2 linked regions of the Lonchura striata genome follow. The protein of the gene in region 1 purifies or fractionates together with the protein of each later gene. This does not show direct contact. Links are inferred from orthologs where the notes say so. Each region holds a gene or a part of one and is shown in the gene's direction. Other genes may lie near its edges. The genes, in order: CHD1L and DNA repair protein XRCC1.

The links.
Region 2: the proteins of CHD1L (region 1) and DNA repair protein XRCC1 purify together in Homo sapiens (affinity purification with mass spectrometry; 3 studies listed by BioGRID and IntAct, counting the BioPlex papers as one, with this or other methods). This does not show direct contact. The link is inferred for Lonchura striata from reciprocal best matches to the Homo sapiens genes CHD1L and XRCC1.

What each region holds. Positions count from the first base shown.
Region 1 is NC_134604.1:26,875,895-26,890,998, forward strand, and holds the start of CHD1L (chromodomain-helicase-DNA-binding protein 1-like), read left to right. Parts: upstream 1-7,467; 5' UTR 7,468-7,504; coding exon 7,505-7,601; intron 7,602-9,183; coding exon 9,184-9,296; intron 9,297-10,044; coding exon 10,045-10,151; intron 10,152-11,412; coding exon 11,413-11,527; intron 11,528-11,878; coding exon 11,879-11,910; intron 11,911-13,974; coding exon 13,975-14,056; intron 14,057-15,104. Other genes in the region: uncharacterized protein LOC110480871, read right to left, coding at 193-353, 1,360-1,452, 1,862-1,982, 3,146-3,208, 4,156-4,296, 5,538-5,575, 7,091-7,147, 7,230-7,388. UniProt on the Homo sapiens protein: ATP-dependent chromatin remodeler that mediates chromatin-remodeling following DNA damage.
Region 2 is NC_134639.1:71,627-86,678, forward strand, and holds the start of DNA repair protein XRCC1, read left to right. Parts: upstream 1-9,294; coding exon 9,295-9,355; intron 9,356-9,414; coding exon 9,415-9,662; intron 9,663-10,834; coding exon 10,835-10,933; intron 10,934-11,971; coding exon 11,972-12,136; intron 12,137-13,045; coding exon 13,046-13,120; intron 13,121-13,521; coding exon 13,522-13,621; intron 13,622-14,130; coding exon 14,131-14,152; intron 14,153-14,193; coding exon 14,194-14,245; intron 14,246-14,397; coding exon 14,398-14,468; intron 14,469-15,052. UniProt on the Homo sapiens protein: Scaffold protein involved in DNA single-strand break repair by mediating the assembly of DNA break repair protein complexes. Negatively regulates ADP-ribosyltransferase activity of PARP1 during base-excision repair in order to prevent excessive PARP1 activity.

The sequences.
Region 1 (15,104 bases):
AGCCTCTCCTTCCTTTGGTTTCAAGAGCCTTCAGGCTTCCACAGCTACTCTAACCCTCAAATCTACAGTACTGGGTTTTCATACCCTCAGGGTTCTGTCATGATTCCCCTTATTTTTGTACCCTTACCTGGGAATTCTGGACAGTCATAGGTATTTCTAGACTGGGAGAAGAGAGAAGACAGGGATTTTTACCTGTTAGGGTTGCATCCAGTTGTTCCAGTCCCTAGTTCATGCATGTTTGAGACCCCAATAATGATAGCCCCAGCCTCTCGCAGCTTCTTGGCCACAGTAGCATCTTCTGTTTCTGGCTGTGTCCCAAGATACACTGTTCCCACTCGGTGATGGTAAGGCACCTTAGCAAGAAGACACCTAACTATTAATTATAAAACCCTGCCAAAGGAGCACATGCACACTCCAACATCACAACAGATCCCAGACATTAGGACCCATGGAGGTAAGCAAGGGCTAGGCAGCACCACTCTTCAGCTTGTCCTGTGATGGTCTCTGTCAGAAGGGACACTTAAACCTTCAATATTTGGTCATTCTCCCATGCAGAGGAGTCCTTTTCATACCATGATACAGTAGAGCATGTGGATGATCAAAGCTGCCTCCCTGCAGCAATGCAATTGCTATGCCCAGAGGCTGAAGATCAACTTGGCCCCACAGCACACAGCTCTGTGCTCCATCTTTGTATGGACAGAGCTACAGCATTTCAGATCTGCATGCTTTGAAGCCTGACATCAAGATTAGTTGAATGCCAAAACAACAGATGGGCTTATTTTCAGGATGTGCTAACTACTCTACTTCGAGGCAGCAACAGAAGAATCTGTACATAAACAGGACACCCACCATAGGGGTAGGTCTCTGCAGAGCCTACAACAGCCTGATGGCACTGCCACAAGTAGTTACTGCTAGCTGTTGTTAGGCCACAGTAAAAATCTTTGTCAATGGGAATTTTCAAAGGAACTTGCGTATTTCTGGCACATGTATTTTAAGGGGACAGGGATGCTTTGCCAGTGGAGTGGAGTCAGGGCCTGAGAAATACAGACAGTTACACCCACTGTACAGATGCTTTTATACATTCTCATTTCATCATAAGAGACTGTTTCCCACACCCACCCTCTATTCCTTGTGGATTAAAGAGATCAGTACAAGATATGGAACACGTCTGCTGTATGCAAAATCTGCCTTCACCCTGCAAAACTTGTTAATCCTACTCACTACAAACCCACATACAACCCCTCATTACAAACATATTCTCAGGCTTCTGCTGAGAAGTTGGTCTCAAAACCTTGTCACAGTGAGTTGCCCAGGTTAACCACCTGCAACAGGAGCTGGCAGCTAGACAAGGAAACTCACCACTTTGAACTCTTCTTTCAGGCACACTGGGATGCCATCCAGACAAGACAGGGTACACTTATTTCTGTAACGAGTAGTGGAGGCCTCAGCCATCTGCAGAGAAAAAGAAAAAGCATAAAGCATATGCTATATATATATATATATATATTTCACTGAGCTGAAGGTCATAATCAGTATTGGAATGGATATTAAAAATGGCTTTCTTGGCCAGCCTATCAAAGTTTTCTTCTTCCACCATATGCTGGTGAGAAACTACAACTTGGAACTATCTACACTAATAGATGCCACATAAGCACAGAAGTCCTATTATAAACAGTCATTCAGCAGGAAACATTGCTTTAATGCTACTTCTCTTTGCAGGAAGGAAAGCAAACTTGTTGTAGTCCTCTAAACACAGAGGAATGAAAAATTTACTTATTTTTCTGTGCATACTGGCTCTTCTTATGGATGCTACTGCCCTTGGGGTGGCAGAGGCCCCTTTCCTACCAGAGGCAGACATTACCAGCATTATTTGCTCCTGGTCCCATTGCACTATGGCTCTGAGCGGTGGCGTGGATTTGTCACAATCCTCCAACATGGCAATGATGTTCTTGGCTACCTGGGATGGCGTCAGCTTCCCACTCCTACAGGACAGGAGAAGTTGGGAGTTTGTTATAAGACCTCCCCTCACATATCCACTCACAGGGTTTGTCTCCCATGCAGCAAGATGGCAGCTGTCACAGCTTTTAGCAAGAATTAGGTAAGAATCTCTGTGTGGTGATGATCTGAACACTGTTGACAACATCAGGACAGGAGATTCCTTTCCTTAAGGGGATAATTTGCCTACACAGAATGCTCCTTAGAGGAGGGGAAAACCTAGGTGAGTTTAACCTAAATGTTCCTGAACCACCACAGATAAACAGGGACACACAGCTGACAGCTTGACAGTCCTCAAGCTCCTGAAAGCTTGGAAACTATGAAACTCCCAATATAATGAGCTAAGACCAAGAGGTCAGACCCCTTTATACAGGCCTCCCATTACACAGAAGGGGCTGCCAGCAGTACTGTCATAACCCACCTTTAATAAACCTTCCTTCCCTCCTGGCAAAGACTGCTACACCACAAACACACCATTCCTGGCTGACACAAAAGCCTCACAGCCAAGATGCACCTGTAACAGCAGACTGCAGTGTCAGCCCTTTGCTCCAATGCCACAGCCTGGGCAGAGGTGGCCCTTGAGGAACAAGTTCTAGGAGTGCAAGGATATTTTTCCAAGGGCTCCACTTCTGGCACATGCCCCAGAGGCAACTAGGATTACCAGGCAGCCAACAGCTCACAGAACCCCAGAGTCAGGGGGGTGTTTTCAGCTCTTTCCAAGCTGGACATGTTTACTGGGTGAAAGCAGGTGTCATGCTCAGAGACGCACAGGGAGCTGGGGAACCAAGGGATTCATCAGAGACCCACAGTATGCACAACTGGCATAATCCAGATCAACCCTCATCTACTTCTCACTCATGTTTGAGTAAACAAGATATGTAGAAATCTCTCTCGAACAAGACTGACAGAGAGTAAGCCAAAGAAAATGGTATTTAAATATTCTTGCAGGGCTTATAAAGCTGTGCCAGCTCTCCCAGATGACTTTCCTTTGTTATTCTACTAAAGGGAAAGAACAGCAGGAAGTGATGATAAACAATGGCACCTCAAGGACAATGCTAACAAAGAGATTCCTGAGAGCCTGTGGAACAGTGGCAGCCCACAGCAGAGAAACATGTGGGATAGGTTGTTTCCAGACCATAATTTCACCTACCGGTAGCATTCCAGATAGTCTTTGATCTCTTTGAAGCTAAACCCGTTCCTAGCAGAATCAGACCTGCAAAAGAAAGGATTAAAAGGTGTAACTGTGAGCCACCAAAGCCAGGTTTGTTCAGACCTGTAGACTTCAGCATCACTGTCCAATGCAGATTTGGGTACCATTCACAGTAAACCACGTGAATTGCTAACCCCTGCATTGCCCCTCACACTCTGTCAGACTCCTTGCACACAAGCCAGGCAACAGGCACACTATGGATGCCACAGAAATAAGGGACCAATTTTGCCAGAATGTTCTAGTTTCTTCATATTCCTACTGAAATACAGCAGTCATTAAACTGTTCAAAATGTATTCCAGATTTACACTTCCTACTCACCACTACAACACTATAGCCTAGCTGGAATATACTTTTGAACCTACTCCCAGACCTCTGTCAAAAATTCAATCCCGAGACAGCCAGCAGCACATCTGGGTGTGTAGTGCAGGAGTGGGAAAAGGCACCATGCAGCACACACAAGCAAACTGCTTCAACACCAAATGGCTCTAGCACATAAACAGTAGGCCACTTCTCATCACTAACAAAGCTAATTTCTTGTGCATTATTTTCTTTAGAACCTGTGTTCCTTCTCTCCTCCAAGAAAACCTGGTGTTCTCTTTGAGATTCCCTGGAGGCTAGAAACAGCACTCCTGTAAAGTCACTTAGAGAAATCTATTTACTAACTAGCCAAACACTAAGTGTACCTGCTGTAATCGTGCAACCAGAGCCCTGGTAAGGGCAGAATTTGGTCTCTCCCCAATAGACTTTTCTCTTTCGCATTGCTTGTAATTGCTGGTGATTTGTAAGTTACAAAAGGCAAGATGACTGACAGCACTATTTGTTTTGTGAAGTGGCTGGGCATGGAAACAAGAATTTAATCTAAATTGCTGACAATGACAGCTTCCCATTAAAGTACCACTGCCAGCATGTGTATTCATCTCCACTTCTCTCTTACACATCACATACTGACCTTGCATCTGTCAGCTCCTTGATAACATCTGAAGGGCTTTTAGCCTCAGACTTGTCTTCTGCAACCCCCGCAGCAACCTCCGGGATAAACGTGGGATCTTCATGAATGTCAAGGGAACGCATAAGCGAGAAGTTGTTCATTCTGAATAAGAGAGAATCACTGCTGGAGTTTTCAACCTCAACTATGACTAATTTTTCAGACTGTTCAGAAGGAACCTTACCCAAGAACATTTTGTCTTAGCAGCCTGCTTTCACAGCAGGGAGTTGCAACAGCTACAAGCTAATCTCTCTTGCATATTTCCTAAGGGCAGCATCAAATCTATTCTGCCTGTTTAACAAAGCCTCCTACCTCTTGATATAAGGCTCTTGACATAAAGCTCTGTAAACTCGAGCTGGGAAAGAAACGGTGGAAGTTTTTGATTCACTTTAATTAGACCTCTCATACACAGACCAAACAAGACAGGAATGGAAAGGAAAATAAAAGAAGAATGTAGTGTAAGCCATACATTCAACCACTAATCCTGTTAAAACAAGCACCTCTTCAGACTTTTCCATTTCCTCTTTCAACATAATTTGTTTGCAACCAAATACAACAGGGCTTGCAGCATAAATCCATAGCAAAGCAAGGAGATCAAAACCCTGTCACAGGTATCCAGGAATGATCTGCAGTATAATAGCAGTGACACTTGCCTGGATTTGATTTGCTCAAAAAGCCCACATCCCAAGTCAAATTCAGGGGTGACACAGTTCTCAGTGTCCTGGGATCTGCACAGATGACCCTTCAAATGATGGGCAAACTATACGAACAAAGCATGAAGAGGTTCCTGAACCTCTTACCCAAGTATCTCTTCATGGAATGTGTTCTTGAAATCAGTTTCTGAACAAAAACACATATGAAAGAAAGAAGAAAAGCTGACCTAAAACAAGAGAACATAATTAAAAAGAACTCACCAAAACCTCTGAACTTTATGTCTGGCCTCACTTTCTCACTACTACTATTCTTTTAACCCTATCAGTGATAAGAACAGCATATTTGCACATCCACCATCCTTGAAAAAAAGACTGTCCTTTAACAAAAGAGCAAAGACAAAGAGACATGAAGGCAAACAAAAGGCAAAAAGAAAAGCTGATGAATACAGTTTCTATGCACCTGCATGAGTGTGAAAAAAGCTATTTTCTTCTCATAGAGACCCACTCAAATGACAGTAGTTAAAAAAATAATCTAGCAAACATCTATGAAGTAATCTTATTCTGTAATCAAATTATGCAGCTCTTCTCTTTAAAAAATACAATTTCAGATAACCTACAAGCAGTGTGCAATGCAAATACCTTAAACCTAAAAAAATAAGAAACTCAGAGTGGGAGAAAAGTCCCCATGCTTACCTCATTAAGAATGGCAATAAGCAAATCTGCCCAAAAGCCTAGGAAAAAAGGAAGCAAAAATGTTGGTTTGCAGCAACTTTGACCTGACACCTTCTTTCACTAGATAAGGAATGCTGAATATGCTCATGATTGCCACAGGCTCAGAGTACGCTAGAGAACATACAATGCTATGCAGTAGAGAAACAGCACAAACATTTGTATTCTACACCAAAAAAATGGCCTGAAACACTTTCCCTCCACTGCTCATATTTATATAATTATAAAAAGAGTATTCTTCTGATTCCTCTGCCTTTATCTTTCCCTGCATCTACAGAAAGCCTGCATCTGCAGATGCAACACTGTTAAGAAGCATCTATATAGCTCCCATCCGTTATTTTCATCATGTTCCACAGATTATGCAAACATTGGATAAGGTAGGAGCTTATTATTTTATTTACTATTAGGACCTTGCCTATCTCTCAACCAGCTCCCACAGTAACATGAGTCAACTTGGAAAAGTGTGAGAAATTTAGAAACTCTATGGTAGCAGACAGCAGAAAACAATCTTTCCATACCCTGGCTCCCAGAGTAGCAGCATCAACAGTCCCAAAGAGACCAGCCTTGTTCTGGCCTGTCTTAATATCTTAACAATGGACTTCAGATACATGTTGTACGATGTACAAATACAGTACAAGTCTGAGGCAAGGCTCACACTGCCAGTCCCACAAAGCAGCACGTCACCTCACGCACTGCATAAGAATTACAGACCTTTTTGAAAACACATGGTTCCTAATCTACATCTGACCTAGCACAGCACAATCCAGTAGGAAAATTAACATCTCACATTCCCCTTCAAGTGAGGTATTGGGAAAGGAAAGAAGCCCTCTGCCATGCATCAGAAGCAGCCACAAAACGAAAGACAACAAAGTACTCTGCTTATTACATCTTGACAGAAAGCCACTCCTAAGGTATTCTCACAAATAAACACAGCCCATCAAGCATTTCACGCCAGGCCCAGACGGACACCAAGCTTTGTAACAGGTGCCACGGCTGAAAAGAAACTTTTGTGCCTACTTCGCTCAAAAGGAAAGGCCGAGCAACAGCAGCAGGCATAGACCCAGCTGCTGCCAGCAGAAGCAGGTGCGAGGTGGGCAGTGCGCAGGGGATGCAGACTTTTGTCCCCTCTGCACCACGACACCGAGAGGCCCAGTGCCGCAGCGGGATCAGCCCGCCGGCTCCCGGACATCCAGAGCCCAGCCTTGGGGAGCGCCGCTGCCTTCAGCAGCCTGCAGGGACCCCCTCACAGGGCTGAGGGACACGAGTCCTTCGGCGGCCAAGGAGCGCGGCCGGCAGCTCTCTTCCGAGTTTGATGTCAGCTTTGGGCTCTCCACACCCGAAGACACACAGGACTCTCTCAGCCAGAGGCCGGCGCTCGCAGTGCCACGGCACCGCACCTATAGAGCCCGGTGAACCCGAGAGCCCGCAGAGAGCCACAACCACCGCGGCGCGCCCCGGAGCCCCCGCCCGGTTCTCCCCGCGCGGCCCCGGGTTTCACTGCCCCGGCCCGCACTCACCGTGTTAGCCACATGGACGAAGAGGCGCAGCCCGGCGCCGCACAGCCTCGGAGCCCACTGCGGAGAGAAGGCGAGAAGCGAGGTGAGCGCCGGCCCCGCCGCCCCGCGCCCGCCGCCCCCCGCCCGGCCCGGCGCTCACGGTGTCCCGGGGCGGGCCCGGCGGCCCGGCCTGCCGCGGCCCCCGGCGGTGCAGCACGGCCGCCGCGCCGCCCGTGTGCCGCCGCCCGCAGCACAGGTAGGCGGCGGCGGCGGCGGACAGCAGCGACGCGAGCAGCAGCAGCAGCAGCAGCGGCGCCATCGCGGCGCTCCCTCGGGCGAGCCCTCCCGCTGCCGGGGCGGAGCCGGGGCTGGCCCCGCCCGCAGCCGGGCTCGGGCGGCGGGAACGCGCGGCGGAGCGGTGACTGACGCCCCGCCATGTCCCGCTTCTCCCGGGCGCTCCGCCGCGCCGGCGGCGCCCGGGCCGGGGCTGCGGGCGTGCAGGAGGCGGACGTGCAGCGGTGGGGGCTGACAGGTCAGCGGGGAGCGGGGGAAAGGGGCGGCAGGGAGCCTGAGCGGTGCGGTGCTGTCAGAGGTGGCGGGAGGGGCCCGCGCTGCCTGGGGCTGCCCAGCTCACTGAATGGCTGGCGTTGGAAGGGGACCTTGAAGATTATCCAGTTCCAACCCCCCTGCCGTGAGCAGGGACGCCTCCGTCTAGACCAGGTTGCCCAAAGCCCCATCCGACTTGGCCTTGAGCACCTCCAGGGATGGGACATCCACAACTTCCTTGGGCAACGTGTTCCAGTGGCTCACCATCCTCACAGTAAAGATTTTTTTTCCGCTAATGTCTATTCTAAATATATTCTGTTTCAATTTGAACAGATTCCCTCTTGTCCTGTCACTGCAGGCTCCTGTAAACAGTCTTGCCCATCTTTCCTGAAAGTTCCTGAAAGGCCTCAAGTAGGTCACCAGGAAACCTTCTGTTGTCCAGCCTGGACAACCTCAGTTCTCTGAGTTGTCTGAGCTCTGTACTAACACCCCCCCTAGGCTGGAAATAAATAAAGGTGCAAATAAATTGGCTCCCAAGCGTGTCAAAGTGAGCTGCAGTTGCTGCAGAGATGGCATTGCTGCCATACTCTGTGCCAGCCTTCCCTGGGTGCTGTAGTCCCTCTGCCTGGCTTTGTGGCTAGGTGGTGTTTGGGCCAGGGCTGAGCCTGGCTTAAACCCTCCTGGTGCCTCCGCACAGCCTCAGGCAGCTCTGTGCTTCGGGGATAAGGTGAGCAAGGGTTGGCCTATTCAGTGGCCTGGAAGTGGATGTCAATTAAAGTGCTTTCGGCTGCCTGGAGGGTGATGTTAAAGGGGAACGCCAGGGCAATCCATCCTGCCCACACATTTTCCTTAGGTGCTGGAAGTCCTCACCTCAGTCCCTGGGCTGGTTTGGGTTTGTGTAGCCTGCGGGCTGGTGAGTTACTTCATGCACGCAGTGTGCACATTTTCCCAGGGAGGAGAGGGCAGCAATGCCAGAATACACAGCACTTGAGTCCAAGCACAAGGAAAGGTCTTGCCAACTCCTATGTGATTTGTTTTGTATTCATTTTGACATATCATGCCCCATAGTAAGGATTGCAATGGTGGTAGTAGTCATAGTGGCCTATAGTGGAGGTCTGCTTTGGCTTTAAGTAGAGAAAAATGGAAAACATCTTGTTAAGAAATTATTATTATACAATAATAGATTGTGAGAAGTATTTCTGGTAGCCTAAAGCATGTCCCTGGCTCTAATACTTACTTTAATATTTTAAAAAGTGATTCAGGCTGAAAATTAAGCTTTCTTTTAGGAATGCAAAGTACCAGCCTAATTACTAGGTCAGGTCTTTTGCACAGTCAAGGATGGCTCCTTGACTGCCATGGCTCAGGGCATTTTTGTGCAAGTTTCTGAATATACTTTAATTTAATTGCAATTACATTGGGGTCTTTGCTATCCAGGAAGGTAAACTAGCTTCTTCTGAATGCTGCTGTGCTTTTCCTGTAAGGCATATGTTCTGGGCAGGACCTGTTCCTAGTGTGTGTATGGAATGCATTAAGTGACTGTAAGTGTAACAAATCACTTTTATTCCCAGGCATTAAACTTCGTCCCTATCAATTAGAAGGTGTAAACTGGCTGGTGCAATGCTATGAAGTCCAGCATGGCTGTATCCTGGGTGATGAGATGGGCCTTGGGAAGACTTGTCAGGTGTGTCTTCTTCTTCTGGAAAATTATCTTTGCTTAAATTTTTGGGGTTTTAGCTTAGTATTTCTGCAAATTGAAAAAGTACCTTACTGATTCCCCCCCACTCCTTCAGAATTCCATACTCAAGTGAGAGCTCATTGTCTCTTTCAGTCCTTAACCACTTAAAACCAGTCCTGAGTTAAGTCCTGTGTAACACCAAATGGGTTTCAGGGTTTTGTAAAAAGACGAGTGGCCATTTTATCCAAACATCTTAATGCATAATTCATAGTGTGCAGAGCTGAAGGCACAATACACAGCCAGTACAGGCAAAATAATGTCCTTTTGATGCACTTGCACCAGGGGGTTTTTGTGTTTGTCAGCATATGGATTAAAATGTATAAGTCTAATTTTTTCAGAAGTTTGTTGGATTTTTTTAAAGTTTTTCAGTGGGTTTAAGTTTTTTTGGAAAATGACTGTGCTTTGGATCAGCTGATTTTATTCAATAGGGCTTAAATTACAAATAGTTTTAGAAAGTGATGCATGGTAGACCAGGTTTGTGACTGTGCAAGAAAGGGGCTTCATATATGGAGGTCATGTTTTAGGATTTAAGCCTTTTTGTCTGTATCCCACTTGATATTCTCTTAACTCTGATTTGTGATAATGAACCTATGGAAACTATCTGCAAAGCTCAGCAAGGAGACAGCTATGTAGGATCAGGCTATCGGGTTGAACCCTTCCCTTGTTATAAAAAAATATTTTCCTTGCCTTTTAGACCATTTCTCTACTTCTTTATTTGACAAAAAAGTTATCAAACAAAGAGAGATTTCTGATACTTTGTCCTCTGTCAGTTCTGAGCAACTGGAAGGAAGAGCTGGAGAGGTAAGTTTCAACAGTTGTCTGGTTTACTGTATTATTGCTCATACTTGCAATTGCAAGGTTTGCAAGTTGCAAGATTGCAGAGATTGTTTTCAAATGTGCTCACTCCAATACTTCCTTTTTATCCTTTCAAAGGGAAAGAAAGTAAAAAGGGAAGCTGCTACTAAGCCAACAAATCAATGCAGACTATGCAGTTAATGCATAGTCTTTACAATGCTGTGGTATACATGAACCCATCCATCCTATATTATTGGCTGACTTTCAGTCTAAATGCTTCCACTAGCTCCTTGCTTTTTATTGATTTGCAACCCTCCCTGCTCAGCCTCTCTTAGGCAAAATCTGCTGAAGACAGCTAGGAATCTTCATAATAAAAGGTAAGACCCAAGTTTGGGGGCATGCTTACATATGCACACAAAATACATCACACACAATACATCAAAATACATCACAGCTGTGCATGCAGCCCATCCTCACTGGGGTGACAGTGCTGATGTGTATCTGCTGTGCCTGAAATATGTACATTTCTGGTCTGTAGCCCACAGACTCTTTGTAAGAGGAAGGGCTAGAAGTTAAAGGTTAGAACAGAAGTCTGTCTGTGTGGCTGTCAGCTGATGCTGTCTCTCTGCATCTGAAGTCATGCAGGTTACATTCTGAAGTGAGCTGGCCTGATATGGATAGATTTTGGGTTGGAATAGTTGGGAGAAACTGCAGTCCTTCATAGATCAACAGTGCAGCTTTCCAGAAGGAGTATTAGGTAAATAATAGTGATGGGATTAAATTAGGAGAAATTTTATGGTCCCTACAATTGGAACTGATTTTTGACTGAGAGAATATATTTGAGACCCTGACTTGGACCTCTTTGCTGCAAACATTTTTGTCTTTATTTTAGAATTATTTAGGCCAATTCTTTGGCCTTATATGGGCCAACTGTATTCATTCACCTGCTTCTTATGAACATTTTTCAGTTCAGAATAGCAGTTAGGTCATGAGACTGGTTTTGAATCATCTGCCTTGGACTCTTACACCTAAAAGAATGCAGGTTTATTTAGGACTTGTTGAAACCACAGCCAACAGTGGAAGTGCCAACCTGAGGTGAAAATTATGGAGGAGTGAGATTCAAAAGCTGAGAGCCAGACACATCTCACAGGAGTGTAGGGTGTTTGGACAGGAATTCTCATCATCTGTGCAGTGAGGTCCAGGGTCATAAACACATGAAAAGACTTAGCTTGGCTCACTGTTTTTTCTGTCTTTCTCTTAACAACAGGTTTGCTCCTGGTCTTTCTTTCATATCCTATGTAGGCAGCAAGGAAGAGCGACCCAAACTGCAAGAGAATCTGAAAGGGGACTCTCACTTCCCTACACTTCTGACAACATACGAGGTACGTGATGCCTTTGTCACTTGAAAGGGGGACGCAAGTTTTTCTAGCCTTTTTTATTCCTCTGTACCACCCAGTTCATGCCTTGTTAGCCCACAAGTTTTCTCACTTTTACACTTCCAATTCTCTTCCCCCCTCTTCATGGGTGGGGTGTGAGTGAGAGGGTGTGTGATGTTAAGCCATGACATGCTGAAGGTGTCATGTAACTGTCATTTTTCTTCCTCAGGTAGTAAGTGCCTTCGTTCCACTCTGCTCCATTTCACCATAGTTTGCAGGCAGACAGAAAAATGCTCTGTTTCTTAACTGATGTATTTACTTAAATCACAAATCACAGTCCATTTTCTTTCATTGCAGATTTGCCTGAAAGATGCAGCATTTCTAAAGTCGTGAGTCTGGTTTTAATTTCTTTGAATTTAAGTCTGGATAGCTGTCAATGATTTCTTAAGTGGATATTTCTATGTGTAAGACTCTGTGTTGTTTCACAAGAGACAGGGATGTTATTGGCTTGTGATCAGAATTTTGTCTTTTCCAACTTTCAGTCTTTAATATCAGCTAAAATATATGTGAACTTCCCCCAAGGACAGTTTTCAAGCCAGTTAACTCAAAGCAATGTGACACAGTGACTTACAGCAGTACATTAAGTATCAGTCCAGCAGAGGATATCCTCAAGAGCTTCAAGTTATAAAGGTATTAGTTGCAATATTCACTGAAACTGACCTGCGTTATATAACAGTGATAATGTGCTAATACCATGTCCTGAAGTTTATTGCCTCACAGTCAAAGCTGTGGAGGGCTTGTGAAACATTACACCTTCTACAAAGCCTGATTATTCAGCTGAAATTCAGCCTGTAGGAGGTACTGTCATGGTTATGCAGAATTCCACAGGCATCTGCACTTGAAATGGGAAGGAATTTTCCTTTTTTCTTAGCAGAAGTGCCAGTGCCTCGCAATGGTGCTATGACAAATGCTGGGGGCAGCTGTACATAATGAATGGCTCAGTATCTTTGTAGAAGCACAAATTCAGTGTCCCCTGCTGGCACAATTTTGTGTCTGTCAGGACTAGTCAGGCTTACAATGGGCACCCTCCTGTCTTTCAGCAAAGCACCTGTCCTTGGCCACTGCTGGAAGTAGCAGACTGTCTACACATCATAGTAGAAACCAGGTCTAATGAAAGATAGCCGTGACTGTATTGTCCTTACAGTTTCATATCACGTTCTGCATTGCCGCATATTATTCCGTTTATTTTAAAGTGTAGCCTAGGTATGTAGCACCCAGGGAGAGCACGTAGCCAGCCCTAGTATCACAAAAGTGTCAGCTCCAAGTAATTTCCTATTTCTAAAGCTAACAAATAACCTCAAAGCCATATCACTCAAATTCAGAGTTTTGCCCTTTAGTCTCTCTTTTGAAAAAAAGTGGTTGCTAATCATTTGTACCTTGTTCTGTGTGGGAGCATTTGGAGCACTTTGTAAAGGAGGGTCAGAGTTATCAGATGTCTCCCCACCACTACTCCCTACAAGCAGTGTAACAGCACAAATGAGTTGAGCAAGAGCCATGCTCTAATGGAATAGATGGGGGATCAGACTCCACTCTGCACATGAGGTTCTGCAGTGCTTCACAGTGCAGAGTCCTGCAATTAAGCTCCTGAGCTCATAGAATAAGAGTAATGACACACTTGATTGTTCTGGCAATGGAGAACCTCTCTGATATAGCAGAGAGCAAAATCAAGGCAAACAGGCTATTTAGGAAGAATGTAGGTCACGGTGGTTTCAGATGTTGTATTCCACTGGGAGGAGAAGTGTGTGGGTGAGAGAAGATGGAGGTTCATGCTTTCCCTCCCCTGGAAATTACTCCGATGTGGAAGTTGAAACCCTAGTGATAAGGAGGCACAAACACTGGGTCTTGAGAAGATGTGGAGTTTCAATTAAGCCTAGTGCATCTACTGGATCACCAGTGATACTGCAGCCTGCTAGAGGACTCTCTGCATAGAGCTGTATGAACACAGAATAAGTTGAAGCTCCTGTGTTGGGTGATTTGCAAAAGCCTTGGGATCACTCTTCCGTCACTGCCTCATGATCATTGCTACGTTTTTGCACAGGTGCTAGGGCCTAGTTTCATGTGTCTTTTTCCAAATCAGAGACCTCTTTGAATGTTCAACAAACCTGTGTTTATGTCATTTTCCTGGTAGTAACGGGTGGAGAGAGAAGCAAAAATTCAAGTGAATTTTGTTAGTTTTGATTTCAGAAAAAACTCACCCAGACTATAGTTAAAAAACTGCGTCAGCTCTTCAAAAAACAGTACCTGTGAATTCTACCCCACTTTTGATATTTGCTGGTTGTTCATGGGATAGGACCCCACCTCAAGTTGAGCCAAGCCACTTACTTTGGTCCTTTTGTACTTACAAGAATGAATTGTCAGCCCCTAACTGAAGATGCTTTTTTTTGCTTGTTCAGCTTTAACTGGGCTGCCTTGGTTGTAGATGAAGCTCACAGACTGAAAAATCAAAATTCTCTGCTTTACAAGACACTTTCTGAGGTAAAGTAACTAATCTATCTTCTAGTGTCTTAAGACCTTTCTCTTTTCAGATTCTCTGTTTGTTCCCAGAGCATTAAACTCTGAATCATCACTTGTTTCCATCAGGGCTGCTGAAAAGATTCCCATATTTAGTGGCAGAGAGATAAAGGCCTTGTTGGCTTTGCATGGCGGTGGGCAGTATTTGGAGCTTCCCTCTCATTCTGCTTCATGTTTGGGCTTGCCATGTTGGAGCAATTTGAAAGACTTGAAAAAGTAAAACAGCCAGACATGGTGCTGAACCACAGCTGTGCTACTGCAGAAGTAGATGTCTGGCTGACCTAAGCAACAAGAGGCCATCTCTAGCTCTGGCAGGGTGAAGGAGCCCTTGTCTAGCTAATGAGAGCTCAAGTCTTGAGCTACTGACTTCCACTGTCCCATTTAATGGAGCCACCCTTGTTCACAGGGATTAGGAGAATTCCTCCAGCTTCCAAAATACCCTGCCCTGTCAGAGCAGCACAAATGCCTGAGTGAAGGCTGCACTTCTTGTAATGGCAGTGAAACATAAGCATTTGGTGTGTGCTGGCATCAGTAACAATGCATACAATACACCTTGGAAAATAGGGGGTTTTATTGAATTCCTGAAAGTCTTACATGTTCTGAATATATTGTCCATGATGTCTATAATTCAGGAGCTTTGGTTATAATCACAAAAAAAAAAAAATAGATGTGACTTATCTCATCTCTCCTCCTAACCTATTTTCTATTACCAAACTTGAGATAAATTTGTATCTTTCCAAAGGTAAATGTATTTCCCAAGTCTCTTTATGGGGGTTACTGTGAGCAACATGGACCTGATAATGTTCCTATGTTTGTCAGAGTTACCCAGCAAACAGAAATGGAACTTAGTCTGACACAGTTTCATTTCACGGTCCTATTCCAACTGCATTTTCCCGTTATCCCTCCTTATCTAACATCTAGTGTGCAGTATTAGACTGTAGGCTGCATGGACCTGAGCATTTTAATGGAGTCAGTTTTGTACTTTGTTCTTATTTTGCTTACACTGAATTCC
Region 2 (15,052 bases), on another chromosome or scaffold:
GGTTTTCACTGGTCCATACTGGTCTTCACTGGTCCATACTGGTTTTTACTGGTCCGTACTGGTCCATACTGGTTTTCACTGGTCCATACTGGTCCATACTGGTCCATACTGGTCCGTACTGGTCCATACTGGTCCATACTGGTCCATACTGGTCCATACTGGTCCATACTGGTCCGTACTGGTCCGTACTGGTCCGTACTGGTTTTCACTGGTCCATACTGGTCCGTACTGGTCCGTACTGGTCCATACTGGTCCATACTGGTCCATACTGGTCCGAACTGGTCCCGCAGCTCGTTCGTGTTCCGGCCGCAGCCGCCGGAGCTCCGCGAGCGCGGCGGGGCCCAGACCGGCGGCATCGACCTCTTCGTCACCCAGGAGCGCGTGCTCTTCCTGGACACCCAGGTAATTAACGCTAATTAGCGCTAATTAATATTCATTACCTCCCAGCTCCCCCCATCAACCAGTATCTGGGATTAACTGCCGTTAATTAGCGCTAATGTTTGTGAAAATGATGATTATTAGCACGAATGTTGTTCGAAATTAGCCCGAAAGTTGATTAGTTGTGCTTAATTAACTTTGTGTCGTTAACAGTGTTGCAGTAATTATAATAATAGATTGCAGTAGATCTTAATCGCCATAATCACAGTTGCCATAATTATCTCCATTACTGTAATAAGCCAAATGATTTAATTTACTTTAATTAAATAAGTATTGTAGTTACCATATCTAACCTAATTACCATAACCAGGCAAATTACCATAATCAAGTTAATTACCAGAATTACTCCAATTACCAGAATTGCCCCAATTATTCAATTTGCCACACGTAGCCTCATCACCATAATCACCTTAATTACCCCAATCGATGTAATTACCACATTTATAGCCTAATTACCGTATTTACCCCAATGATTCAATTTACCGTAATTACCCAATTACCCTACTTACTCTAATTAACATAATTACCCCAATTACTGTAATTACCCCATTTACCGTAATTACCCAATCGCCATCTTCAGCTTAATTACCATGATCACCCTAATTACTGTAATTACCCCAGTTGCTATTAATTGCTCCAATTACCGTAATTACCATCTTCGGCCTAATTACCATAATTACCCCATTTACCGTAAATACCCCAATTGCTGTTAATTGCTCCAATTACCGTAATTACCATCTTCGCCCTAATTACCATAATTGCCCCATTTACCATAATTACCCTAATTACCATCTTCGACCTAATTACCATAATTACCCCATTTATCGTAATTACCCCAATTGCCATTAATTGCTCCAATTACCATAATTACCATCTTCGGCCTAATTACCATAATTGCCCCATTTACCGTAAATACCCTAATTACCATCTTTGACCTAATTACCATAATTGCCCCATTTACCGTAATTACCCCAATTGCCGTTAATTGCTCCAATTACCGTAATTACCATCTTCGGCCTAATTACCATAATTGCCCCATTTACCGTAAATACCCTAATTACCATCTTTGACCTAATTAACATAATTACCCCATTTACCGTAAATACCCTAATTACTGTAATCACCCCAATTACCATAATTACCCTACCTACCGCCACTCCCCTAATTACCCGACCCCCCCCCTTTCCCCGCCCCCTCATTACCATACCGGGAGGGATGGGCGTGGCCTCACAGGCCACGCCCCTCTTGGCCACGCCCCCAGCCCATCCTCAGCCCCGCCCACCTGGATCACCTGATCAACAACGACCGGAAGCTTCCGCCGGAGTTCGCGCTGCCCCACGCCTACGTGGAGACGCAGGTGAGGGCGGGGTCTTGGTATGCTAATGAGGCGCTGGATATGCAGATTATGCTAATGAGCAGCCCCGCGCAGTCGTTGCAGATCGCCGCCTTCCTGTTCACCGTGTGCCACGTGGTGCTGCTGGTGCAGGATTGGTTCACCGACCTGGGGCTCTACAGGTGAGACCCAAAGGGCCCCAGAGTGACCCAAAATGAGCCAAAATGAGCCCAAAAGTGACCCCAGAGTGACCCCAGAGTGACCCCAGAACTGAGCCAAAAATGAGCCAAAACGAGCCCAAAAGTGACCCCAGAGTGACCCCAGAACTGAGCCAAGAGTGACCTCAAAGTGACCCCAGAACTGATACAAAGGTGACCCAGAAATGACCCAAAATTATCCCAAAACTGACCCTAAAATGACCCCAGAACTGACCCCAAAATTATCCCAAAACTGACCCTAAATTGACCCAAAAACTGACCCCAAAGTGACCCCAAAACTGGTCCAAAAATGACCCTGAAATGACCCTAAAGTGACCCAGAAATGACCCAAAATGACCCCAAAGTGACCCCAGAACTGACCCAAGAGTGACCCAAAATGACCCCAAAACTGACCCAAAAGTGACCCCAAAATTGACCCTAAATTGACCCAAAATGACCCCAAAGTGACCCCAAAACTGGTCCAAAAATGACCCTGAAATGACCCTAAAGTGACCCAGAAATGACCCAAAATGACCCCAAAAGTGACCCCAAAAGTGACCCAAAAAGTGACCCTAAAGTGACCCCAGAACTGACCCAAAACTGACCCCAAAGTGACCCCAGAACTGACCCCAAAATGACCCAAAATGAGCCCAAAACTGACCTCAAAGTGACCCCAAAACTGCCCAAAAATGACCCTAAAGTGACCCTAAATTGCCCCAAACCGCCCCAAAACTGCCCCAAAGCGCCCCACAAGCGCCCCACAAGTGCCCCAAACTGCCCCACAAGTGCCCCAAACTGCCCCACAAGTGCCCCAAAGTGCCCCAAACTGCCCCAAACTGCCCCAAAGCGCCCCACAAGTGCCCCAAAGTGCCCCAAACTGCCCCACAAGTGCCCCAAACTGCCCCAAAGTGCCCCAAACTGCCCCACAAGTGCCCCAAACTGCCCCAAAGTGCCCCAAACTGCCCCAAACCACCCCACAAGTGCCCCACAAGCGCCCCACAACCACCCCAAAGTGCCCCACAAGCGCCCCAAAACTGCCCCAAATTGCCCCACAAGTGCCCCACAAGTGCCCCAAACCGCCCCACAAGTGCCCCAAACTGCCCCACAACCACCCCAAAGTGCCCCACAAGTGCCCCAAACCGCCCCACAAGTGCCCCACAAGTGCCCCATAACTGCCCCACAGGTTCCTGCAGACGGCCGAGATGGTGAAGCCACCGACGCCGTCGCCGAGCCACGAGTCGAGCGGGGCCGGAGCCGAGGAGCCCTCGGAGTATTACCCGCACCTGGGTGAGACCCACGGATCCTGACCCACAGATCTGACCCACACCTGGGTGAGACCCACGGATCTGACCCATAGATCCTGCCCCATGGATCTGATCTGAGCCCCATAGATCCTGACCCACGGATCTGACCCATGGATCCTGACCCATAGATCCTGACCCACACCTGGGTGAGACCCATAGATCCTGACCCATAGATCCTGACCCACGGATCTGACCCATAGATCCTGACCTGACCCATAGATCTGACCCATAGATCTGACCCACGGATCTGACCCACACTTGGGTGAGACCCACGGATCTGACCCACAGATCCTGACCTGACCCATAGATCCTGACCCATAGATCTGACCCACACCTGGGTGAGACCCACAGATCCTGACCTGCCCCATAGATCCTGACCCATAGATCTGGCCCACAGATCTGCCCCATAGTTCCTGACCCTCCCCAGGTCTGCCAGGTGTGCCCAGGTGAATTCTCTCCACCCCAAACTAAAAATGGCTCCAGGATTTTGGGGTTTTTTAGGGGATTTTTGGGTTTTTTGGGGTGGAATTGGGGTTTTTTAGGGGCTGCCAGGTGTGCCAGGTGTGCCCAGGTGTGCCCAGGTGAATTCTCTCCACCCCAAACTAAAAACAGCCCCAGGATTTTGGGATTTTTGGGTGTTTTTTTAGGGGTTTTTTGGGGTGGAATTGGGGTTACCAGGTGTGCCAGGTGTGCCCAGGTGTGCCAGGTGTGCCCAGATCAGTTCTCTCCACCCCAAACTAAAAACAGCCTCAGGATTTTGGGATTTTTGGGTGTTTTTTAGGGGATTTTTGGGGTTTTTGGGGTGGAATTGGGGTTACCAGGTGTGCCCAGGTGTGCCAGGTGTGCCCAGATCAGTTCTCTCCACCCCAGGCTAAAAACAGCCCCAGGATTTTGGGATTTTTGGGTGTTTTTTAGGGGATTTTTGGGTTTTTTTGGGGTGGAATTGGGGTTACCAGGTGTGCCAGGTGTGCCCAGGTGTGCCAGGTGTGCCAGGTGTGCCAGGTGTGCCCCTGCCCGCAGTGTTCGTGCAGACCCGCGCGCCCCCCGAGTCGTTCTCGCCGCGGCGCGTGGGGCAGATGCAGCGAGTGCTCGGGCGCCTGATGGCGCACTCGCGCCTCAAGTACCGCGGTACGGGGATTTGGGGGATTTTGGGGAAATTTGGGGATTTTGGGGATTTGGGGGATTTGGGGGATTTTGGGGAAATTTGGGGGGATTTGGGGAAATTTGGGGAAATTTGGGGGATTTGGGGAAATTTGGGGAAATTTGGGGGAATTTGGGGAAATTTGGGGAAATTTGGGGGATTTGGGGAAATTTGGGGAAATTTGGGGAAATTTGGGGAGATTTGGGGAAATTTGGGGAAATTTGGGGGATTTTGGGGGGATTTGGGGGATTTTGGGGAAATTTGGGGGGATTTGGGGGGATTTGGGGGATTTTGGGGGGATTTGGGGAAATTTGGGGAAATTTGGGGATTTTGGGGGGGGATTTTGGGGGGATTTGGGGGGATTTTGGGGGGATTTGGGGGATTTGGGGGAAATTTGGGGGATTTGGGGGATTTGGGGGGATTTTGGGGGAATTTGGGGAAATTTGGGGGATTTCGGGGGGATTTGGGGGGATTTGGGGGATTTTGGGGGATTTTGGGGAAATTTGGGGGAAATTTGGGGGATTTTGGGGGGGATTTTGGGGGATTTGGGGAAATTTGGGGAAATTTGGGGATTTTCGGGGATTTTGGGGGATTTTGGGGGGATTTGGGGGATTTTGGGGGGATTTGGGGGATTTTGGGGGGATTTTGGGGAAATTTGGGGGATTTGGGGGGATTTTGGGGGGGATTTGGGGGGATTTGGGGGAAATTTGGGGAAATTTGGGGGGATTTGGGGGATTTGGGGGGATTTGGGGGAAATTTGGGGGATTTCGGGGGGGATTTGGGGGATTTTGGGGGATTTGGGGAAATTTGGGGGATTTTGGGGGGATTTGGGGGTTTTCGGGGATTTTGGGGGGATTTGAGGGGATTTGGGGGGATTTGGGGGGATTTGGGGGGATTTGGGGGGGATTTGGGGGGATTTTGGAAAATTTGGGGGGGATTTGGGGGATTTTGGGGGATTTTGGGGAAATTTGGGGAAATTTGGGGGGATTTGGGGGGGATTTTGGGGGATTTGGGGGGATTTTGGGGGATTTGGGGAAATTTGGGGATTTTCGGGGATTTTGGGGGATTTTGGGGGGATTTTGGGGGGGATTTGCGGGATTTTGGGGGGATTTTGGGGGGATTTGGGGAAATTTGGGGGGATTTGGGGGGATTTTGGGGGGATTTTGGGGGATTGGGGTGGATTTGGGGGGATTTTGGGGAGATTTTTGCTGATTTTGGTGGTGATTTTGGGGTAATTTTGGGGGTGATTTTGGGATAATTTCGGAATGATTTTGGGATAATTTCAGGATGATTTTGGGATTATTTCAGGATGATTTTGGGGGTGATTTTGGGCGATTTTTAGGGTGATTTTGGGGGCGATTTTTGAGGTGATTTGGGGTGATTTTGGGATAATTTCGGGATGATTTCGGGGTAATTTCAGGATGATTTCGGGATAATTTTGGGATAATTTCAGGATGATTTTGGGATAATTTCAGGATAATTTCGGGATAATTTCAGGATGATTTTGGGGTAATTTTGGGGTGATTTTGGGATAATTTCGGGATAATTTCAGGATAAATTCAGGATGATTTTGGGATAATTTCGGGATAATTTCAGGATAATTTCAGGATGATTTTGGGATAATTTCAGGATAATTTCAGGATGATTTTGGGATAATTTCAGGATAATTTCAGGATGATTTTGGGATAATTTCGGGATAATTTCAGGATAATTTCAGGATAATTTCAGGATGATTTCGGGGTAATTTCAGGATGATTTTGGGATAATTTCAGGATAATTTCAGGATAATTTCGGGATAATTTCAGGATAATTTTGGGATAATTTTGGGGTGATTTTGGGATAATTTCAGGATGATTTTGGGATAATTTCGGGATAATTTCGGGATAATTTCGGGATAATTTCAGGATGATTTCAGGATAATTTCGGGATAATTTCAGGATGATTTCGGGATAATTTCAGGATGATTTCAGGATAATTTCGGGATAATTTCGGGATAATTTTGGGGTGATTTTGGCCCCCCAGGCTCGCTGTCCATGCGGGAGCTCCTCCCCTCCCCCCCGGGCCCCCCCCCGAGCCCGAGGTGAATCTGTTCCTGCTGCCGCCCCTGGAGGAGGAGCCCGAGGACGCCCTGCCCCGAGGTGAGACCAGTGCGGACCAGTACGGACCAGTACGGACCAGTACGGACCAGTGCGGGTCCCCAGAGACAGCCCCTGGGCACCCTGGGCCCCTTCCCAGTACATCCCAGTATGGCCCAGTACAACGCAGTACACCCCAGTTCCCTCTGAACCCATCCCAGACCCCCCAAACCTCCTCCCAGTACATCCCAGTACAGCCCAGTACATCCCAGTATGGCCCAGTACATCCCAGTATGGCCCAGTACAGCCCAGTATGGCCCAGTCCCCTCCGAACCCACCCCAGACCCCCCAAACCTCCTCCCAGTCCATCCCAGTACAGCCCAGTACATCCCAGTACATCCCAGTCCATCCCAGTATGGCCCAGTATATCCCAGTACACCCTAATCCCCCCCAAACCCCCTCCCAGTACAGCCCAGTACATCCCAGTCCCCTCTGAACCCACTCCAGACCCCCCCAAACCTCCTCCCAGTCCATCCCAGTATGGCCCAGTATATCCCAGTACAGCCTAATTCCCCCCAAACCCCCTCCCAGTCCATCCCAGTCCATCCCAGTACATCCCAGTATGGCCCAGTCCCCTCTGAACCCACCCCAGATCCCCCAAACCTCCTCCCAGTCCATCCCAGTCCATCCCAGTATGGCCCAGTACACCCCAGTACAACCCAGTACAGCCCAGTCCCCTCTGAACCCACCCCAGACCCCTCAAACCTCCTCCCAGTCCATCCCAGTACAGCCCAGTCCGGTCTAAACCCATCCCAGACCCCCCAAACCTCCTCCCAGTCCATCCCAGTCCATCCCAGTATGGCCCAGTACATCCCAGTATGGCCCAGTCCCCTCTGAACCCATCCCAGACCCCCCAAACCCACTCCCAGTACATCCCAGTCCATCCCAGTATGGCCCACTATATCCCAGTACAGCCTAATCCCCCCCAAACCCCCTCCTAGTCCATCCCAGTACATCCCAGTACATCCCAGTATGGCCCAGTACATCCCAGTACACCCCAGTCCCCTCTGAACCCACCCCAGACCCCCCAAACCTCCTCCCAGTCCATCCCAGTACATCCCAGTATGGCCCAGTATATCCCAGTCCCCTCTGAACCCACCCCAGACCCCCCCCAAACCCACTCCCAGTCCATCCCAGTATGGCCCAGTCCATCCCGGTGCTCCCCAAACCCCGTCCCAGTCCAAACCAGTATAAACCAGTTCAAACCAGTATAAACCAGTCCAAACCAGTCCAAACCAGTATAAACCAGTATATCCCAGTCCATCCCAGTCTACCCCAATCCCCTCCAAACCCACCCCAGCCCCCTCAAACCCCCTCCCAGTCCATTCCAGTCCATCCCAGTACGTCCCAGTCCCTCCCCGTGCTCCCCAAACCCCCTCCCAGTCCAAACCCAGTATAAACCCGTCCCTCCCAGTTTATCCCAGTACAAACCAGTACGAACCCCGCAGGTGGGGGAGGGGCGCTGTTCCCGGCCCTGCCCCCGTTCCGCGGCCGGGGGGGGCTGGGGGGGCTCCTGGCCCGGCTGCGGGGGAGGGTCCTGGCGGCCGCGCGCTCCCAGTTATCCCACAGCCTGCTGACCGAGCGCAACTGGTGAGACTGGTTTATACTGGGAGGGCTTCGGGGGGGACTGGGAGGGGCTGGGAAAGGGTTAAAGGGGGTTTGGGGCACTGGTTTATACTGGGAGGGGTTGGGAAAGGGTTAAAAGGGGATTTGGGGTAACTGGTTTATACTGGGAGGGGACTGGGAGGGGTTGGGAAAGGGTTAAAGGGGGTTTGGGGGTACTGGTTTATACTGGGAGGGACTGGGAAAGGGTTAAATGGGGTTTTGGGGTTACTGGTTTATACTGGGAGGGACTGGGAGGAGTTTGGGGGTGACTGGGAGGAACTGGGAGAGGGTTAAATGGAGATTTCGGGTTACTGGTTTATACTGGGAGGGACTGGGAGGGGACTGTGAGCAACTGGGAAGGGATTGGGAGGGACTGGTTTATACTGGGAGGGGACTGGGGGGAACTGGGAGGGGATTGGGAAAGGGTTAAAGGGGGATTCGGGGTTACTGGTTTATACTGGGAGGGGATTTGGGGTTACTGGTTTATACTGGGAGGGGATTTGGGGGGACTGGTTTATACTGGGAGGGGATTCGGGGTTACTGGTTTATACTGGGAGGGGATTGGAATAAACTGGGAGGGGACTGGGAGCGAACTGGGGGGAACTGGGAGGGTGCTCATTACCTGTACCAGTCCGTACTGGTTTATACTGGTCCGTACTGGTTTATACTGGTATATACTGGTTTATACTGGTCCATACTGGTGCAGGTTCCACTACGCCGCCCGCATTTGGGACGGGGTGAAGAAATCCTCAGCCCTGGCTGAGTACGGCCGCTTACTGGGATAAACTGGGAGCACTGGGAGCCTCGTGCTGCTCTTCATTAACGACCCCCCTCGTTAATTAATGACGCCTAATTACCCTCGCCGAGGTTTCCTTATCTCCTTTCCCCTCACGGCTCTGAGGCGGCTCCCCCCGCGCTAATAAACAGCCCAAAGCGCCTTTTCTTTGTCTTAATTAGCGCCAAGTCGTGATTAATTGCCTTTCCCTAAGGATTAATGAAGCTTAATTACCCTGGCGGAGGTTTAATTATTTCCTTTCCCCTCACGGCTTCCCGCGCTTGGAAAAAGGCGGGAAAAACTCCGCTGGGAGGACGCGCGGGTAGAGCGCGCCCCGCGCATGCGCGCAGCCAATGGGCGCGCGCTATGGAGCCCCAGAGTCGCGCGGAGCAGAGCGGCCCGGGAGGGCGCGCTGAGGCGACTTCCGGTGCGGCGCTGAGGCGACTTCCGGTGCGGCGCTGAGGCGGCTTCCGGTGCCGCTCTGAGGGGACTTCCGGCGCGGCCCTCATGGCGGAGATCCCGTTCGCCCGGGTGGTGTCGGTGACCAGCGCGGACCCGGTGGGTCCCGGGGAGGTTCGGGAGGAGCCGGGCTGGGCTCGGCGGTACCGGGGCTCGGTTCTGAGGGTTCGGTGCGTCCGCAGCGGCACCCGGCGGAGAATCTGCTGCGGCCCGAGGATGGCGGGAAGTGGAGGGGAGCGGCGGCGGGCGAGAAACAGCTGAGCGTGGTGCTGGAGGTGGGGCTGGGGGTAACTGGGAGGGACTGGGAGGGACTGGGAGGGGAGTGGGATAAAGTGGGAGGGGACTGGGTTAACTGGGAGGGACTGGGAGAGGAGTGGGATAAACTGGGAGGGGACTGGGATGAACTGGGAGGGACTGGGAGAGGACTGGGATGAACTGGGAGGGACTGGGAGAGGAGTGGGATAAACTGGGAGGAAACTGGGATGAACTGGGACTGGGATGAACTATGAACTGGGAGGGACTGGGATAAACTGGGAGGGACTGGCGGGGACTGGGAGTAACTGGGAAGGGACTGGGAGAGGAGTGGGATAAACTGGGAGGGGACTGGGATAAACTGGGAGGGACTGGCGGGGACTGGGAGGGGATTGAGGGGGACTGGGATGGACTGGGACAAACTGGGAGGGGATTGGGATGAACTGGGAAGGGATTAGGAAGGACTGGGATAGACTGGGAAGGGATTGGGAGGGACTGGGATGAACTGGGGTGGACTGGGAGGGGATTGAGAGGGACTGGGATAAACTGGGAGGGGATTGGGGGGGACTGGGATAAATTGGAAGAGGGTTTGGGGGGATTGGGAGGGACTGGGATAGACTGGGAGTAACTGGGATACACTTGGAGAGGATTGGAATGGACTGGGAGAGACTGGGATGGACTGGGAGGGCATCGAGGGGAACTGGGATAAACTGGGAGGGGATTAAGATGGACTGGGATAAACTGGGATGGACTGGGAAGGGACTGGGGGTGACTGAGAGGGGGTTTGGGGGCACTGGGAGGGGACTGGGGGTTACTGGGATGTAGTGGGAGGGGACTGGGACAAACTGGGACCAACTGGGAGGGCAGTGGGGCTGAACTGGGATAATCTGGGACAAACTGGGAGGGACTGGGATGAACTGGGAGGGACTGGGAGGGACTGGGAGGGAACTGGGAGGGACTGGCGGGGACTGGGAGGGAACTGGGAGGGACTGGGATAAACTGGGAGGGACTGGGAGGGAACTGGGAGGCTCCTCCTGAGTGGGGCAGAAATGGTCTGCACTGGTTCATACTGCTCCGTACTGGTTTATACTGGTTTGTACTGGTCTGTACTGGTTCATACTGCTCTGTACTGGTTTGTACTGGTTTATCCTGGTCTGTACTGGTTTATACTGGTTTATACTGGTGGCTCCCCCAGCTGGGTGACACCCGCCCCATTCACTCCCTGCACGTCGGCAACGACGGCGCCGCCTTCGTGGAGGTGCTGCTGGGCTCCTCGGCCGGGGGCGACTTCCAGGTGAGCCCGTGGGCACCTGGGCACACCTGGGCACCCAAACACACTCCTGGGCACAGCGAGAAACACACCTGAGCACACCTGGGCACCCAAAAACACACCTGGGCACACCTGGGCACCCAAACACACACCTGGGCACAGCTAAAAACACACCTGGGCACACCTGGGCACCCAAACACACACCTGGGCGCAGCGAGAAACACACCTGGGCACCCAAAAACACACCTGGGCACCCAAACACACACCTGGGCACAGCTAAAAACACACCTGGGCACACCTGGGCACCCAAACACACACCTGGGCACAGCTAAAAATACACCTGGGCACCCAAAAACACACCTGGGCACACCTGGGGTGCCCAAAAATACACCTGGGGCACCTGGGCACACCTGGGCACCCAAACACACACCTGGGCACAGCTAAAAACACACCTGGGCACCCAAACACACACCTGGGCACAGCTAAAAACACACCTGGGCACAGCTGGGGCACCCAAAAACACACCTGGGCACAGCTAAAAACACATCTGGGCACACCTGGGACACCCAAACACACAGCTGGGCACACCGGGGGCACCCAAAAATACACCTGGGCACACCTGGGGTGCCCAAAAATACACCTGGGGCACCTGGGCACACCTGGGACACCCAAACACACACCTGGGGCACCTGGGCTCATCTGGGCACCCAAAAACACAGCTGGGCACAGCTAAAAACACACCTGGGCACAGCTGGGGCACCCAAAAACACACCTGGGGCACCTGGGCACAACTAAAAACACACCTGGGCACACCCGGGCACCCAAAAACACACCTGGGGCACCTGGGCACACCTGGGACACCAAAACACACATCTGGGCACAGCTAAAAACACACCTGGGCACCCAAAAACACACCTGGGCACACCTGGGGGTACCTGGGCACACCTAAACCTTACCTGGGCACAGGTGGGTGCACACCTGGGGGTACCTGGGCACACCTAAACCATACCTGGGCACACCTGGGGGTACCTGGGCACACCTGAGCCTTACCTGTGCCCGCAGGTGCTGCTGCCCAGCGCGGCGCTGATGTCGCCCAGCGAGAGCCGGGCGGGGGCGGGGCCGGGCCGGGTGCGGCTCTTCGGGCCCGAGGCGCTGGTCAAGCGTCCGGCCACGCCCACGGCCAGGTGGGACCGGCTGCAGGTGGTGCTGAGCCAGCCCTACTGCCAGGTGAGCGCACCTGGGCGGGCAGGGGGCTCCTGGGGCTCACCTGGGGGGACTGGGAGGGCACCTGGAGGGGCAGGGGGCACCTGGGGCGCACCTGGGGGGGGCAGGGCGCACCTGGGGCTCACCTGGAGGGGTCAGAGCGCACCTGGGCGGGGCAAGGGGCACCTGGAGCTCACCTGGAGGGGTCAGAGCGCACCTGGGGGGGGCAGAGCGCACCTGGGCGGGGCAAGGGGCACCTGGAGCTCACCTGGGGGGGTCAGAGCACACCTGGGTGGGGCAGGGGGCACCTGGGGCGCACCTGGAGGGGTCAGAGCGCACCTGGGGGGGGGCAGGGGGCACCTGGGGCGCACCTGGGGGGGGGCAGGGGGCACCTGGGGCGCACCTGGGGCGGGCAGGGGGCACCTGGGGCGGGCAGGGGGCACCTGGGGGGGGCAGGGGGCACCTGGGGCTCACCTGGAGGGGGCAGGGGGCACCTGGGGCTCACCTGGGGGGGCTGAGAGGGCACCTGAGGGGGGCAGGGGACACCTGGAGCTCACCTGAGGGGGTCAGAGCACACCTGGGGGGGGCAGGGGGCACCTGGGGCTCACCTGGGAGGGGCAGAGCACACCTGGGCGGGCAGGGGGCACCTGGGGCTCACCTGGTGGGGTCAGAGCACACCTGAGGGACAGGGAGGGCACCTGGGGAGGGTCAGGGCTCACCTGAGAGGGGGAGGAGCTCACCTGGGGAGGGTCAGGGCTCACCTGGGGAGGGTCAGGGCTCACCTGAGGGGCAGGGAGGGCACCTGGGGGGGGGGCGGTCATGGCTCACCTGGTCAGGGTCACCTGGTCAGGGTCACCTGGTCAGGACTCACCTGGTCAGGGTCACCTGGTCAGGGTCACCTGGTCAGGACTCACCTGTTGGCCCCGCCCCCAGAGCCGCCCCTACGGCCTCGCCTTCATCCGGGTGTTCGCGGCCCCTGAGGAGGGCGAGGAACCGCCCCCGGCCCCGGTGAGTGACCAATGAGTGACCAGAGTGACCACAAGTCACCCTGAGTGACCAGTGAGTGACCAATGAGTGACCACTGACCTACTGAGTGACCAGAGTGACCAATGAGTGACCAGTGAGTGACCAATGAGTGACCATGAGTGATCATGAGTGACCAGTGACCCACTGAGTGACCAGTGAGTGACCCTGAGTGACCACTGACCACTGAGTGACCCTGAGTGACCATGAGTGACCATGAGTGACCAGTGAGTGACCAATGAGTGACCAATGAGTGACCAATGAGTGACCCTGAGTGACCCCGAGTGACCCCCGAGTGACCCCGAGTGACCCTGAGTGACCCCGAGTGACCCCGAGTGACCCCTGACCCCGAGTGACCCCGAGTGACCGCCGTGCCCCTCCCCCAGCGCCGCCGCCTGGGTCCCTTCACGCTGCGCCAGGAGGGGGAGGGGAGCCCCCGGCGCCCCCCCGGGGCCCTGTTCTACCGCCGCCCCTCCCCCACCCCAGGTAAGGCCCTCCCCCATCCCATACAGCCCCTCCCCCTCCCCATACAGCCCCTCCCCCACCCAGATAAGCCCCTCCCCCACCCCAGGTGAGCCCCTTCCCAGGTAAGCCCCTCCCCCTCCCCATACAGCCCCTCCCCCACCCAGATAAGCCCCTCCCCCACCCCAGGTGAGCCCCTTCCCAGGTAAGCCCCTCCCCCTCCCCATACAGCCCCTCCCCCACCCAGATAAGCCCCTCCCCCACCCCAGGTGAGCCCCTTCCCAGGTAAGCCCCTCCCCCTCCCCATACAGCCCCTCCCCCACCCAGATAAGCCCCTCCCCCACCCCAGGTAAGCCCCTCCCCCTCCCAGGTAAGCCCCTCCCCCTCCCCATACAGCCCCTCCCCATTCAGCCCCTCCCCCTCCCCATACAGCCCCTCCCCCACCCAGATAAGCCCCTCCCCCACCCCAGGTGAGCCCCTCCCCTTCCCAGGTAAGCCCCTCCCCCTCCCCATACAGCCCCTCCCCCACCCAGATAAGCCCCTCCCCCACTCCAGGTAAGCCCCTCCCAGGTAAGCCCCTCCCCCTCCCCATACAGCCCCTCCCCCTCCCAGGTAAGCCCCTCCCCATACAGCCCCTCCCCCACCCAGGTAAGCCCCTCCCAGGTAAGCCCCTCCCCCACCCAGGTAAGCCCCTCCCCATACAGCCCCTCCCCATTCAGCCCCTCCCCCTCCCCATACAGCCCCTCCCCCACCCAGGTAAGCCCCTCCCCCACCCCTCACGGTCTCCCCTCCCCCCCCAGCCCCCGCCCAGGCCCCCCCCGGGCCCAGCTACGCCTCGGCCGCGCTGCAGGGCAGCAGTGACGTCACACAGGTGAGGCGCACCTGGGCACACCTGGGGGACCCCGAAATGCACCTGGGGGACCCCAAAATACACCTGGGCACACCTGGGGAACCCCAAAATACACCTGGGCACACCTGGGGGACCCCGAAATGCACCTGGGCACACCTGGGGAACCCCAAAATACACCTGGGGGACCCCAAAATACACCTGGGCACACCTGGGGGACCTGAAAAACACACCTGGGCACACCTGGGGGACCCCGAAATGCACCTGGGGGACCTCAAAATACACCTGGGCACACCTGGGGGACCCCAAAATACACCTGGGGGACCCCAAAATACACCTGGGCACACCTGGGGGGCTCCAAACCTTCCCTTGGGCACTCCTGGGGGACCCCGAAATGCACCTGGGTATACCTGGGGAACCTGAAAAACACACCTGGGCACACCTGGGGAACCCCAAAATACACGTGGAGGACCCCAAAATACACCTGGGCACACCTGGGGGGCTCCAAACCTCACCTGAGCACACCTGGGGAACCCAAAATCTCACCTGGGACCCCAAAACTCCCTGAAATCACACCTGAGACCCCCAAACCCCACCTGGGACCCTCC